Coturnix japonica: one gene and its partners. The protein of the gene in region 2 interacts with the protein of the main gene of each other region in a pairwise test. Links are inferred from orthologs where the notes say so. Each region holds a gene or a part of one and is shown on either strand. Other genes may lie near its edges.

Evidence for each region.
Region 1: the proteins of TRIM32 (region 2) and ubiquitin-conjugating enzyme E2 variant 1 interact in binary tests that used the Homo sapiens proteins (3 or more experiments, as listed by UniProt). The link is inferred for Coturnix japonica from reciprocal best matches to the Homo sapiens genes TRIM32 and UBE2V1.
Region 3: the proteins of TRIM32 (region 2) and CLIP4 interact in binary tests that used the Homo sapiens proteins (3 or more experiments, as listed by UniProt). The two-hybrid records come from large-scale screens. The link is inferred for Coturnix japonica from reciprocal best matches to the Homo sapiens genes TRIM32 and CLIP4.

The regions. Positions count from the first base shown.
Region 1 is NC_029535.1:12,296,614-12,300,363, forward strand, and holds the start of ubiquitin-conjugating enzyme E2 variant 1, read left to right. Parts: upstream 1-1,242; 5' UTR 1,243-1,352; coding exon 1,353-1,374; intron 1,375-3,750. UniProt on the Homo sapiens protein: Has no ubiquitin ligase activity on its own. The UBE2V1-UBE2N heterodimer catalyzes the synthesis of non-canonical poly-ubiquitin chains that are linked through Lys-63.
Region 2 is NC_029532.1:2,234,268-2,238,017, forward strand, and holds the start of TRIM32 (E3 ubiquitin-protein ligase TRIM32), read left to right. Parts: upstream 1-1,476; 5' UTR 1,477-1,576; intron 1,577-2,812; exon of another isoform or gene 2,813-2,931; intron 2,932-3,750. UniProt on the Homo sapiens protein: E3 ubiquitin ligase that plays a role in various biological processes including neural stem cell differentiation, innate immunity, inflammatory resonse and autophagy.
Region 3 is NC_029518.1:10,041,688-10,045,132, reverse strand, and holds the end of CLIP4 (CAP-Gly domain-containing linker protein 4), read left to right. Parts: intron 1-420; coding exon 421-493; intron 494-1,035; coding exon 1,036-1,357; 3' UTR 1,358-2,932; downstream 2,933-3,445.

The DNA of each region.
Region 1 (3,750 bases), on a different chromosome or scaffold from region 2:
TGCCTTGATCCCGCCTGGAGCAGTTCTAAAATAGGAGGTTTGGGCTGTCCTGAGGTGCCCATACCTGTTATCCCCTCCCAAACCTGGTGCAGAGGGGAAGGGGGCTGCAACAGTGGGGTTGCACTGAGCACCCACCTTGCCCCAGAACTGCAGCAGTTCCAACGGGAGCTCCTGGCATCTGCACCCCCAGCTCCAGGTCAGCTTTGCCGAGCAGTTGTGCCACCCAGCTTCTGCCCTGCTCGTTTCCCGTGCTGCTCTCGGCTGCCTCTGAAATGCAGCGTTAGGCTTCAGCTGTAGTCTGACCAGCAGCAAGACTGGCATTGCTGTTTTTAAAGCAGCATCAGTGAATAGCTGGTAGAAATGGTGCTGTAGCTGTGCGCTGTGGGGTTGATACAGCAGGATGAGGGTTTGAATGGCAGTCATGAGCCTCTAAATCTTCTAATAATTTCTGTGAGATGTCCATGCGATGTCTCAGGACAATATCTGGGGATATGTAGTGCAAGACAAAGCAGAATTTATTAATTCATTTCCTCCCAGGTTTCTTTGTTTGTTTTTTACTGTACTGGCTAGACAGAGGCAAAGCAAAATGCTGCCGCTGAAGCACAGCCCTCTAGGTCCATCTGCTGTCAGGTCCCATCTGGCAGCGCCTGTTTTCGATTCCATTTCTGCATAGTCCCAACCTTCAGGAGCAAAGCGGGGACACCCGTGTGTGCTGTGTCTTTCCTGCTGCAGACGGGCGGGCATTGCGTGCTGCTGGCTGCTTCCTTCGGCTGCGCTCACTGTGGGTCTGCACAGAACACACAGCACGGATTGCTGCCAGTGCTTCACGGCAACGAGAGAATGGCAGCAAAGGAAAGGAAATGTTGCACCACTCTGGTACTTTCCTTAGCTGAAGACGTTTGGGAAGCAAATACATAAACAACACCAGATTATTACCAAGTGACTGGGTAATTTAAGAGCATTAGGAGTTAAATGCTGCCTGCGTTCCGACCATAATGAACGTGGTTTGGCCATTATTAATTGCACTGGAGTTTTATAGGACGTTAAATGTTTGAAAGCATGCCCGTGTTTCAGGCTTCCCTGGAGGATCCAGGGCTCTGCTGTCCCGGACACGAGCCGGCTGCCGCCCTCGGGGGGCACGAACAGCTCGAGCCCCCCCAGCCCAACAGAGAACGCCGCTAACCTCGATTGTGCCCGCCCGCGCGGCGAAGTTCGGGCGACTTCCGGCGTGCACCACAGAGCTCTCCTCTTTCTCGCCTCGTCTTTAGCGCGCCCGCCCGCCCCGCGAGGCCTCACTTCCCGCGTTGCGCTGACGCGGCGTTGGGGGGCGGGTCCGGCGGCAGCGGCGCAAGATGGCGGCCACCACGGGTGCGGGTGAGCGGGCGGCGGGGCCGGGCTGGGCCGGGGGCGCTGGGAGGGGCCGCCCCTCTCCGCGGGGCAGCGGGCGGCGGGGCCGGGCCGGGAGGCGGCGACAGAGCGGCCAGGGCTGCGGAGAAGGGAACGGAGCGAGGGGGCGGCGGCGGGGACTGGGCCGAGGGGCGCGGCGCGGTGCCCGGCCGGGGGGCGGGTGGGCTGGGTGGGCCGAGGGCCGAGGGCCGAGGGATGCGGCTGGGCGGGACTCGGGCACGGGAGCCGCGGAACGACCCGGGCGGAGGCACCGCCGAGCACAGGCCGCTCCCGGCCGCCCCCAGCCCGCAGTGAGTCCCGGCCCCGCCGCAGTGCTACGGGCTGCGGGCGGAACGCGGCGCTGGGCGGCGGCTGCCGGGGAGCACAGGCCCGAGGAGCCGCTTCCGAAGGGCTCAGGAAGTTGAACGGCGATTTCCTGCCTCGTTCTGCACCTGCTATGAATGGTTGAACGGCCCCCTATGGCTATCGTTCACGTTACACTACATAGCAGTAACCAGACCTCAGTGTATCTTTTCCTGCTGATCCCTTCTGGCTGACCTGTGCAGACCAAATAATGTGGTTTCATTCCTGTTTGCCAGTCTCACCTACCTGCTCTTGTAACCAGTGTCCAGTGTGCCCTGACAGCGCCGTGCTCAGATCGCATCCTCTGGTGATAAATGTGGGAACATCCAAGGGCTGCACTGGAGGTACAGCAGAAATATCTAGAGGTACCTTCCTTACAGATAGGTTCCTGCTGGTGGCTTTCCGGCCTTCAAGAATAAATGTCACAGTGCAGTTAATTAATTAATGCAGTTAATAAGTAGTTATCAAGTTCATAAGAAGGTTCTCTGCTTGGAAGCAGGTGGCTGTGAGCTGTGGAGCACCTGGGTAAAGCCTATGGACAGAGCACATTTCCACTACCACATTATCTCACTTCTCTGCTCCTGTAATCCTGTCGGTCTGCTCACTTTATTTTGTATGTGTCTGGAAGAGCAAGGCCAGTGACTGCTGCTTTTAAGCCAGTGCAGCTTCATGAGTTATTGTCTGTGTGGTCCAGGAGAGGGGCAGGAAGATGGAGATCCAAACTGCAGTGACTGAGTCTGGGGCCAGTCCTGCACAGCTCCTTTGTGCTGTTGGGATGAGCTGTGTGTCAGTAGCCATTGTCCATCAGCCACGCTGTGCCTTTGGATGGCTGCATTACCTCATATTCTCCTGAACCGTCCCTGGCCTTCAGTGTTGGAAGCAGTGCAGAGTCAGGGAGATGGCAGGCAGGTGCTCAGCTCCTTGCCTCTAAAACATGAGCATCAGACAAGCACTGCACTTAGCTGCTCTTGAGGTCCTGTTTGTTTTAGTGCTGCTGGCAAGAGGAAATAGTGCAAAACAGTATGTGTCAAAAAAAGCCATGCTGCTGAAACAGAACTTCTGCAGTAAGCCCCATGGTTGGGACTGAGGAACTTTTGCATACAGACCAGTGGTTTGCGCTGATGGGAGCGTTGTCCAGCCGTGAATCCCAGACTGCTGTACCTACCACCAACCTGTTCTGTCTGGGTGCACCAGTAAAGTATGGCTGGAGATTGTCCTTTTTGAAACAGAGAGCAATATAGTGTTCCTGACAGCACCAGTAGAATCTGGGGTTTCCTGTATAAAGAAACCTACAGCAATTCTTTTAAGATCTCCTGGCGAGTTGTCTTAGTTTCAGCTGGAACAGAATTGTTCCCTTCAGAATGTTGGGTATGATGCCATGTTTTGGTTCGAGGAGAAGAAAAACATTGATAGCACAGTGATGTTGATAATTGCTGCTAAGCAGTGCTGTGCAGAGCCAAGGCTCCAAGGAGCTGGGAGGGAACAGAATCAGGACAGCTGACTTACACCTGCCAAAGGGATATTCCATACCATACAACATCAAGCAGAAGGAGTTTAGAAGGGGCTGGGAGTTCATCACGCTCTCTTCTGCTGCTTGTCTTTTTCTCAGTAAATAGTTTTATCTTAACCCACAAGTTCTACTACATTTTCTCCTAATTTTCTCCCCCATCCTACTGGGGTGGAGGGAGGTGCTTAGCTGTCTGCTAAACTCCAACACTAGTGAAGAGCATTTTCAGTGCCCTTTGCTAAGCTGTTCTCTATGAAATATTTGTGCTTTAATCCTCAAGATTTCATTGTAGAAAGGAAAGAGATTCACTGACATTTTTTGTGGGGCCTTTATTTCTTCCTGCTCGTGCTGAGGAGGAGCATTCAGGAGCATCCACTCTCAGGAGTATTGCCCACTTCATTTCACTGCTCTCACTGTGCTGTTTGCACTGTGGCACTGTACGGTTATTCAGTTGTACAATCAATAGGTAAACAGAGGTTTAAACAGATGTTTCG
Region 2 (3,750 bases):
GGAGCTGCATCCAAGCTGGTTCTACCCTTCCTTGTGTTTGGGAAGGGTTACATGACATGACAGCAGGGTGCAGCCCCTCATGGTGGCCCTATAGGCCTTTATGGCATCCTGTAGCCCATCATGATGACCCTATAGGCCTTTATGGCATCCCATAGCCCCTCATGGCGGCCCTATAGGACCTTATGGCATCCTGTAGCCCATCACGGTGGCCCTATAGGCCTTTATGGCAGCCTGTAGCCCATCATGGTGGCCCTATAGGACCTTATGGCATCCTGTAGCCCATCACGGTGGCCCTATAGGCCTTTATGGCGTCCTGTAGCCCCTCATGGTGGCCCTATAGGACCTTATGGCATCCTGTAGCCCCTCATGGTGGCCCGATAGGAACTTATGGCATCCTGCAGCCCCTCATGGTGGCCCTATAGGACCTTATGGCATCCTGTAGCCCATCATGGTGGCCCTATAGGCCTTTATGGCATCCTGTAGCCCCTCATGGTGGCGCCTATGGCCTTTTATGGGCATCCTGTAGCCCCTCTATGGTGCGCCCTATAGGCCTTTATGGCCATCCTGTAGACCCCTCTGGTGGCCCCCCCCCCCCCCACTATAGGCCTTTATGGCATCCTGAGCCCCCTATGGTGCTCCCCATAGACCTTTATGGCATCCTGCAGGCCGCCTCATGGGTGGCACCTGATAGGCCCTGTATGGCATCTGTAGCCCCTCATGGTGCGCCCTATAGGACCGTCGTATGGCATCCTGTAGCCCCCATCATGTGGCCCATATAGGAACTTATATGGCATTACCTCGTAGACCCTCATGGTGCCTAGTAGGCCCTTATGCATCCGCAGCCGCCCCTCATGGTGGCCCTATAGGCCCTTATGCGCATCCTGCTAGCCCCTCCATGCCGTGGTCCTATAGGCCTTATGGCATCCTGTGCCCCTCATGCGTGGCCCTATAAGGCCTTTATGGCAGTCTGCACCGCTCCATGGTTGGCCCTATAGCAGCCCTTATGCGCATCCTGTAGCCCCCTCATGGTGGGCCCTTACAGGACCTTTATGGCATCCTGTAGCCCATCATTTGGTGGCCCTATAGGCCTTTAATGGGGGCCATCCTGTAGCCCCTCATGGTGGCCCTATAGGCCTTTATGGCATCCTGTAGCCCCTCATGGTGGCCCTATAGGCCTTTATGGCATCCTGCAGCCCCTCATGGTGGCCCTATAGGCCTTTAAGGCATCCTGTAACCACTCATGGTGGCCCTATAGGCCTTTAAGGCATCCTGTTGCCCATCATGATGACCCTATAGGCCTTTAAGGCATCCTGTAACCCCTCATGGTGGCCCTATAGGCCCTTATGGCATCCTGCAGCCCCTCATGGTGGCCCTATAGGCCCTTATGGCATCCTGCAGCCCCTCATGGTGGCCCTACAGGCCTTTATGGCCCCTCCCCCCCATTAACCCGCTGTGTGTGCGCAGGCGGCCCTTCAGGACTCCACCTCCCAGCGCTCCGTGCGCCGCGCAGCACCACGTCATCGGCGGCGCTGGGTATGACGGGCAGCGGCTGCGCGGCCCGGGGAGCGGCGAGCAGGTAAAGGGAAGGAGCGGAGCCGGGGCCCCGCCGTGAGTGGCGCCCCCTGCAGGCGGGGCGGGTGGGCGGGCGGTTACACACAGCAACGGGGCCGACCCAGCGGGACCGGGATGGAGCGGGAGGGAGGCGGCGCTCCCAAAGCGCTGCGGGGCCGTGAGCAGGGCCAGGCCTCGGTTCGGCCTCTGGTTCACTGTTTTATGTGTGGGAACAACGGCCCGATGTGGGGTATAACCGAGGGAGGGAGAGCGCTGCGGGGATAACGGCATGGCAGAGATGAGCGCTTGCATGCGGTTGTGCCTATTAAAAGAGCATCACACAAAGCGACCTTCAGACCGAACCTGAGTTAAAAGCAAAGGGAAGCCCATCTAAATGGAAATACGCCTTCTGACCGCAGCTTTTATCTGTAAACCTCGTTGTTGTCCATCCATCAGAGCTGAGGTGCTGCTCAGCAGGAGAGGAGAGGAGAGGAGAGGAGAGGGAAAAGGAAGGGAAAGGGAAAGGAAGGGAAAGGAAGGGAAGGGAAGGAAAAAGGGAAAGGAAAGGAAAGGAAAGGAAAGGAAAGGAAAGGAAAGGAAAGGAAAGGAAAGGGAGGGAAAGGGAAAGTAAAGGAAAAGTAAAAGAAAGGAAAGGAAAAGGAAAAGAAAGAAAAGGAAAGGAAAAGGAAAGGAAGGGAAAGGGAAAGAAAGGGAAAGAGAAAGGGAAAGGAAAGCTGTGTCCCCACTTTGGGGTCAGCACCCAGCCTGGGACCCCACCATTGGAGATCCCACATTGCCCATCCCTGCAACGTGGGGCTAAAAAGACCTCACAGCCGATAAATACAGATCTCCTTTTAATTCCTCCCCCCCCTCTCTCTATGTATGAATATAAAGAACCTCTCTCCGTTCCAGCTGTCTCCTTCCACTCGAGCAAACGCTGAACTGAAATACACTGAACCTTTCTGTCTGAAATGCTCCTGAGGGCAAAGCAGGCGATCGCAGCAGGGAAGCCAAAGTGCTGCGTGCATGCAGCCATTATTGGGAAGAAAGCTTTCTGCTCGCATCCCTCTGTGCCCGGCTCTTCATTTTAAAGACCAACCACTTCCTTCTCCTCCTCTCCCCCTAGAAGAAATGTTTTCTCCCCGTTTCTTTTTTAACGGCTAAGCAATGCGATAGCAGAGGTATTGAAACTCGGTCCGCTGAATAATAACTTAATGATGTGAACCCTGTTCTGTTCCTTTTGAATGGATGGCTGCTTTAGCGAGGGAGCTGCTGGGATCTGCTCCCCGCTGCGCGGGATGTGAGGATGAAGAAACCTGGGCTGAAGTTGAATGGCAACCACGGCGGTACAACAAAACTGAACCAAAACACAGGAATGAAGTCAGTGCTACAAGAGTATAGAATACAGAGAAATTATATGCAATTAAGCTAAGTTCAGGACCTAAGAGAGAACACGTGCAGTCTGTATTATCAAGCATTTGGAGTTGTCTGGTAGCTCTGTTTCTGCTAATACTTGATAGAATGCTGCTGCATCAAGCTGTATTTATTTGCATGATGCAGCATGGCAGAGGTTAATGAAGTACACTGGCTTAAAGACATCGGCGCATGTTTCCACTATAAACAGTCAATCACAGAAGGAGTGGAAACCGACAAATCATTCCTTCTAGGATTACCTCCTGGCAAACACATGAAACCTTGAAAATTTATTTTGGCTTTCTAGAAAAGCAGTTTTAAACCATGAACATTTATTTTGCTCATGTCTGATGTCTTATCTGAATGCAGGTCTCCAGAGGTGATATATTAATGTCCTAAAGCGTTGCACCATCTGGTTCCTCTTTTGATGCGCAACATTTGAACGCTTGGTTTAATCTCTCTGGATTTCAGAGTAAATTATGTAAACTCACAGGCTTGGCAGCAGGAGATGGGCACCATGAGGAGATGATTCAGTCATCAATATATATTGGGCTTCCTTATTGCTGCCATTACACTTCTTTCAGTTCTCCTTATAAATTTTGCAAGCGAATAATTCATTGCACTAGAAGCTGCAGGTTAGTTTTAGGATTTGCCCACTCTGAGATCAGCGATGATAAATCTACCCTTCTCACATGTGGAAAAGCCAACTGGGTTTCTGTTTTCCAGGTCTGGGAGATAAATCAGAAATAAACTGCATGTATATGTAACTGCTGGTGATGACATAAA
Region 3 (3,445 bases), on a different chromosome or scaffold from region 2:
TTCCATCAGAATTAAGACCCTTGTCACTCTTATAACTATTTCATACTTCTTTAAACATACTTAACCATAAGTTTAACTTGGTTCTTCATCTAAACTGAGCCTAATGAGGGTGTCAGTGGAAGGAGTAATGATACATCACAGGAAGGAGTAAAAATACATGACAGTAAGAAAGGTTGTTTTGTGAAAAGCCTGCTTCCATTTACTCCTCTTCAGTTTGTTTTATTTAATTTCTTTTGTCTCAGGACATGTAAAACATGTTATGAACACTTAAGTTCATGAAAAGTTTCATCAGTTTCCAAACAGGAAGGGAGAATGTGTAGCAAAGATAGTGGGAGCAGTATAGAAGAAAACACAGAGATAATGGGCTCAAAGCCAAAAATCTTTGTAAATCCCACATAGCTCATTAACCTTCTCCTTTAGGTTTTAGACGCAGTTTAAGCACAACTTCTGCATCTTCACAAAGAGAGATAAGCAGAAGAAACTCCTTTGTTAGGTGAGTATTTGGATTTTAAGATGTCTGGGTGAGGCAGCTGATAGCCTCACTACTTCTTGCTGCAAAGAAGATCTTTATGTTTATGAAGTGCTAGAGGTTATTATATATACTCACTCTTTTTCCTCCAGAATTAAGCAGTAGCCTACTGTTTTTTCTGTGGGCATCCTAAGATACAGTCCTTGGGTTCAAGATGGCATGAAAATGGTTTTCCAATTGCTCATCACTGTGTATTTTGCAAATTCTTGTATTTTCATTCAGCTGTTTGAATGCAGCAGGCCTTGGTAAAGGACTGCACTTCGTCCTGCCTACTGTACCACCTACCATAGACATCTCAAATCCTGGCATCGAGTGAGAGAGCAGATGGATTCTCCAAGTATTTCAAACTGCCCTCTGTTGTAGCACACTGAAGTTGTTACATGTTTTGCTAGCAATATGAGATCAAACCCAGTTTTGTCATGCACTGCACTAAGTTAAAAATACTTCTTGGATGTTTCATGGAAAGACACCGATGCTTTTTTTTTCCACCCCCCTTTTAAAACTAGGTCCAAGAGTTCTGCGTCACGGCACAGCTGGAGCCATCCCAGCACAGCTACCATGGAGGGACTGGTGAAGCTGCACGAAGGCTCACAGGTTCTTCTGACCAGCTCCAATGAAATGGGCACCATCAGGTACATTGGTCCGACGGACTTTGCACCAGGGATGTGGCTTGGCCTTGAGCTACGAAGTGCCAAGGGAAAGAATGATGGCTCTGTGGGGGAGAAGCGTTACTTCACCTGCAAGCAGAACCATGGGGTCCTGGTTCGACCTAGCAGAGTAACCTACAGGGGGATCAATGGGGCAAAACTTGTAGATGATATCTGCTGAGCCAAAAGATGCTCGGATGATAGGAAACATTTAGAGCATACAGGATCCCCATACAGAATGCCAACTTATTTTTAAATTATTAAACCTGCATTTATATTTTACGTATAGATAGATATATCTGATTATATATATTTGTATATACATACATACATACATATATATATATATATATATATATACACACACATACACAGATACACTAAGTATATATAGAGAGATATATATAAACAAACAAAACTTTGGTGACCTTAAGATGTCAAACCACTGCACTGTTTCTCTTAATGAAACAGCTCTTACCTGGGAAGGTAATTCCAAGAGCTTGGCTCTGAGATGCTGTGTTATGCTCCAGCTGGAGTATACCCAACATTCTCTAGAGTTGCTTTGTGATTCATGTGGTATTTAAACGATTTTCCTCTGTAGTAATGAACTGATAATGCTTTGTGCATTGCCTGCTTTTGAACAGAGGGGGTGGTTAATGAGTGACATTAGTCTGTTCACCAGACAGTATGTCAATTTCAGTACCAGCTGCTAGCAATAAAAAAGCAAAAAATAAAAAGACCTTTTTTTTTCCCAAGCAGTTTTGAGGTATTTCTGCATTTTATTGCATTTTGTCATTGGATCCCTCTTCTTCTTTTTCCCCTGCCATTATCTCCTCCTGAATCCAAAAGGGCTGATAAATAAGTGCAGGAATTTGCAGCGATCCTAGCGAACAGCTAATAAGCAAAAAGCCTTTAAAAAGCACAACCGTAGTGTCTGTCAGGCAGTAAATGTACTGTATATAGAAGAAGCACTCTTTAAAATAATGCACTTTACACTCTCCTGGAGAACTCTCCCTCGTTTATAAAGGTATTGCTTTGTTTGTTGTGCTGCAGGCTATGGGTATCATAGTTTTTAAATGCACATAAACTGTCCAGTAGTCTGTACAGACACAGCATGGCCATTCCTGCCAGCAGTATGGGTTATGGGCTGGGTTTTAAAGCAAGCTATTAACACTTCAGTTATTTCTGTTTCCTTTTGCTTTCTTTGGTACAGTTTCCAGTGTAGATTTCTTGTAAGACTCGTAGGATAAATTAAGGATAATTTTAGGTACAGGACTGTAGCAGAAGTTGATGTGACATCACTTGCATATCAGCCTTTTTAAAAACAGCTCGTACTTGTCCATGTTTTAAACATGTAATGTGTTCTAATTGCTCAGCATTATCTCACTGTTATCAGGGTGGTTCTGTGTTTCAGATGATGGTTTTATTTTTAAATGATCTGCTTGCTTTTACCTACTTGAAAGAAGAGACACTTTAAATGAAGTTAGGATCCTATTTTTAGACAGAATTCTGCTGCTATTAATGTTATTTTAAATACTACTGTAGCTATTTTTCCTTGGCTGTATTTAAAATACTGCATATTGTATTCTAGCTTATGGAGCGTTTTAAATTGAATATAAGTTGTAAATTTTGATTGTAAAAAAGGAATTAGTTCTCTATATTTGAAGATATACAAAACTCAGTGCTGTACTGAACATGACTTTGTCCAATATCTGTTTGTTGGTGTATTAGTAAAATGAAAGCCTGGTGAATGGTATGGTGGAGAGAAGCTTCCCGGGATTGTTATAGCACATATATCCTCTTTTCTCTATTCCTATGTACAAATTACACAGGCAGATATGGTGTGAAGCAGCAGCTGTGGAATACCACCTGGATGGTCCTAGCTCTGTCACAGGAGCCATCAGCACTGCACTGAGGGTGGTGCCATCGCTACAGAACCCAGCACGCAGGGAGCCAGTTACAGCCATTTTATTGGTCTTCATGCCTTTTGGTTCACTACACTTGTTTACAATACAAAGACACTATTCAATACAAAATACTCAATGACCATATATTAATATTTTTTCTTCATAGTATCCCTGAAGTGCACAGGCCCTTCCTTTATAAATTGCATAAGCTGCTGTATGTGAGACAGACATTCCTCTAATGAAGCTCTGTTACTAAAAGAAGCCAGATGCAGACAATTCAGACATTTTCTCATGACAGTTTTAACTCTGGGACGGACACTTTGTGATGTCTTTGCAGCTGTGAGAGGCAGTTCTATGCAATA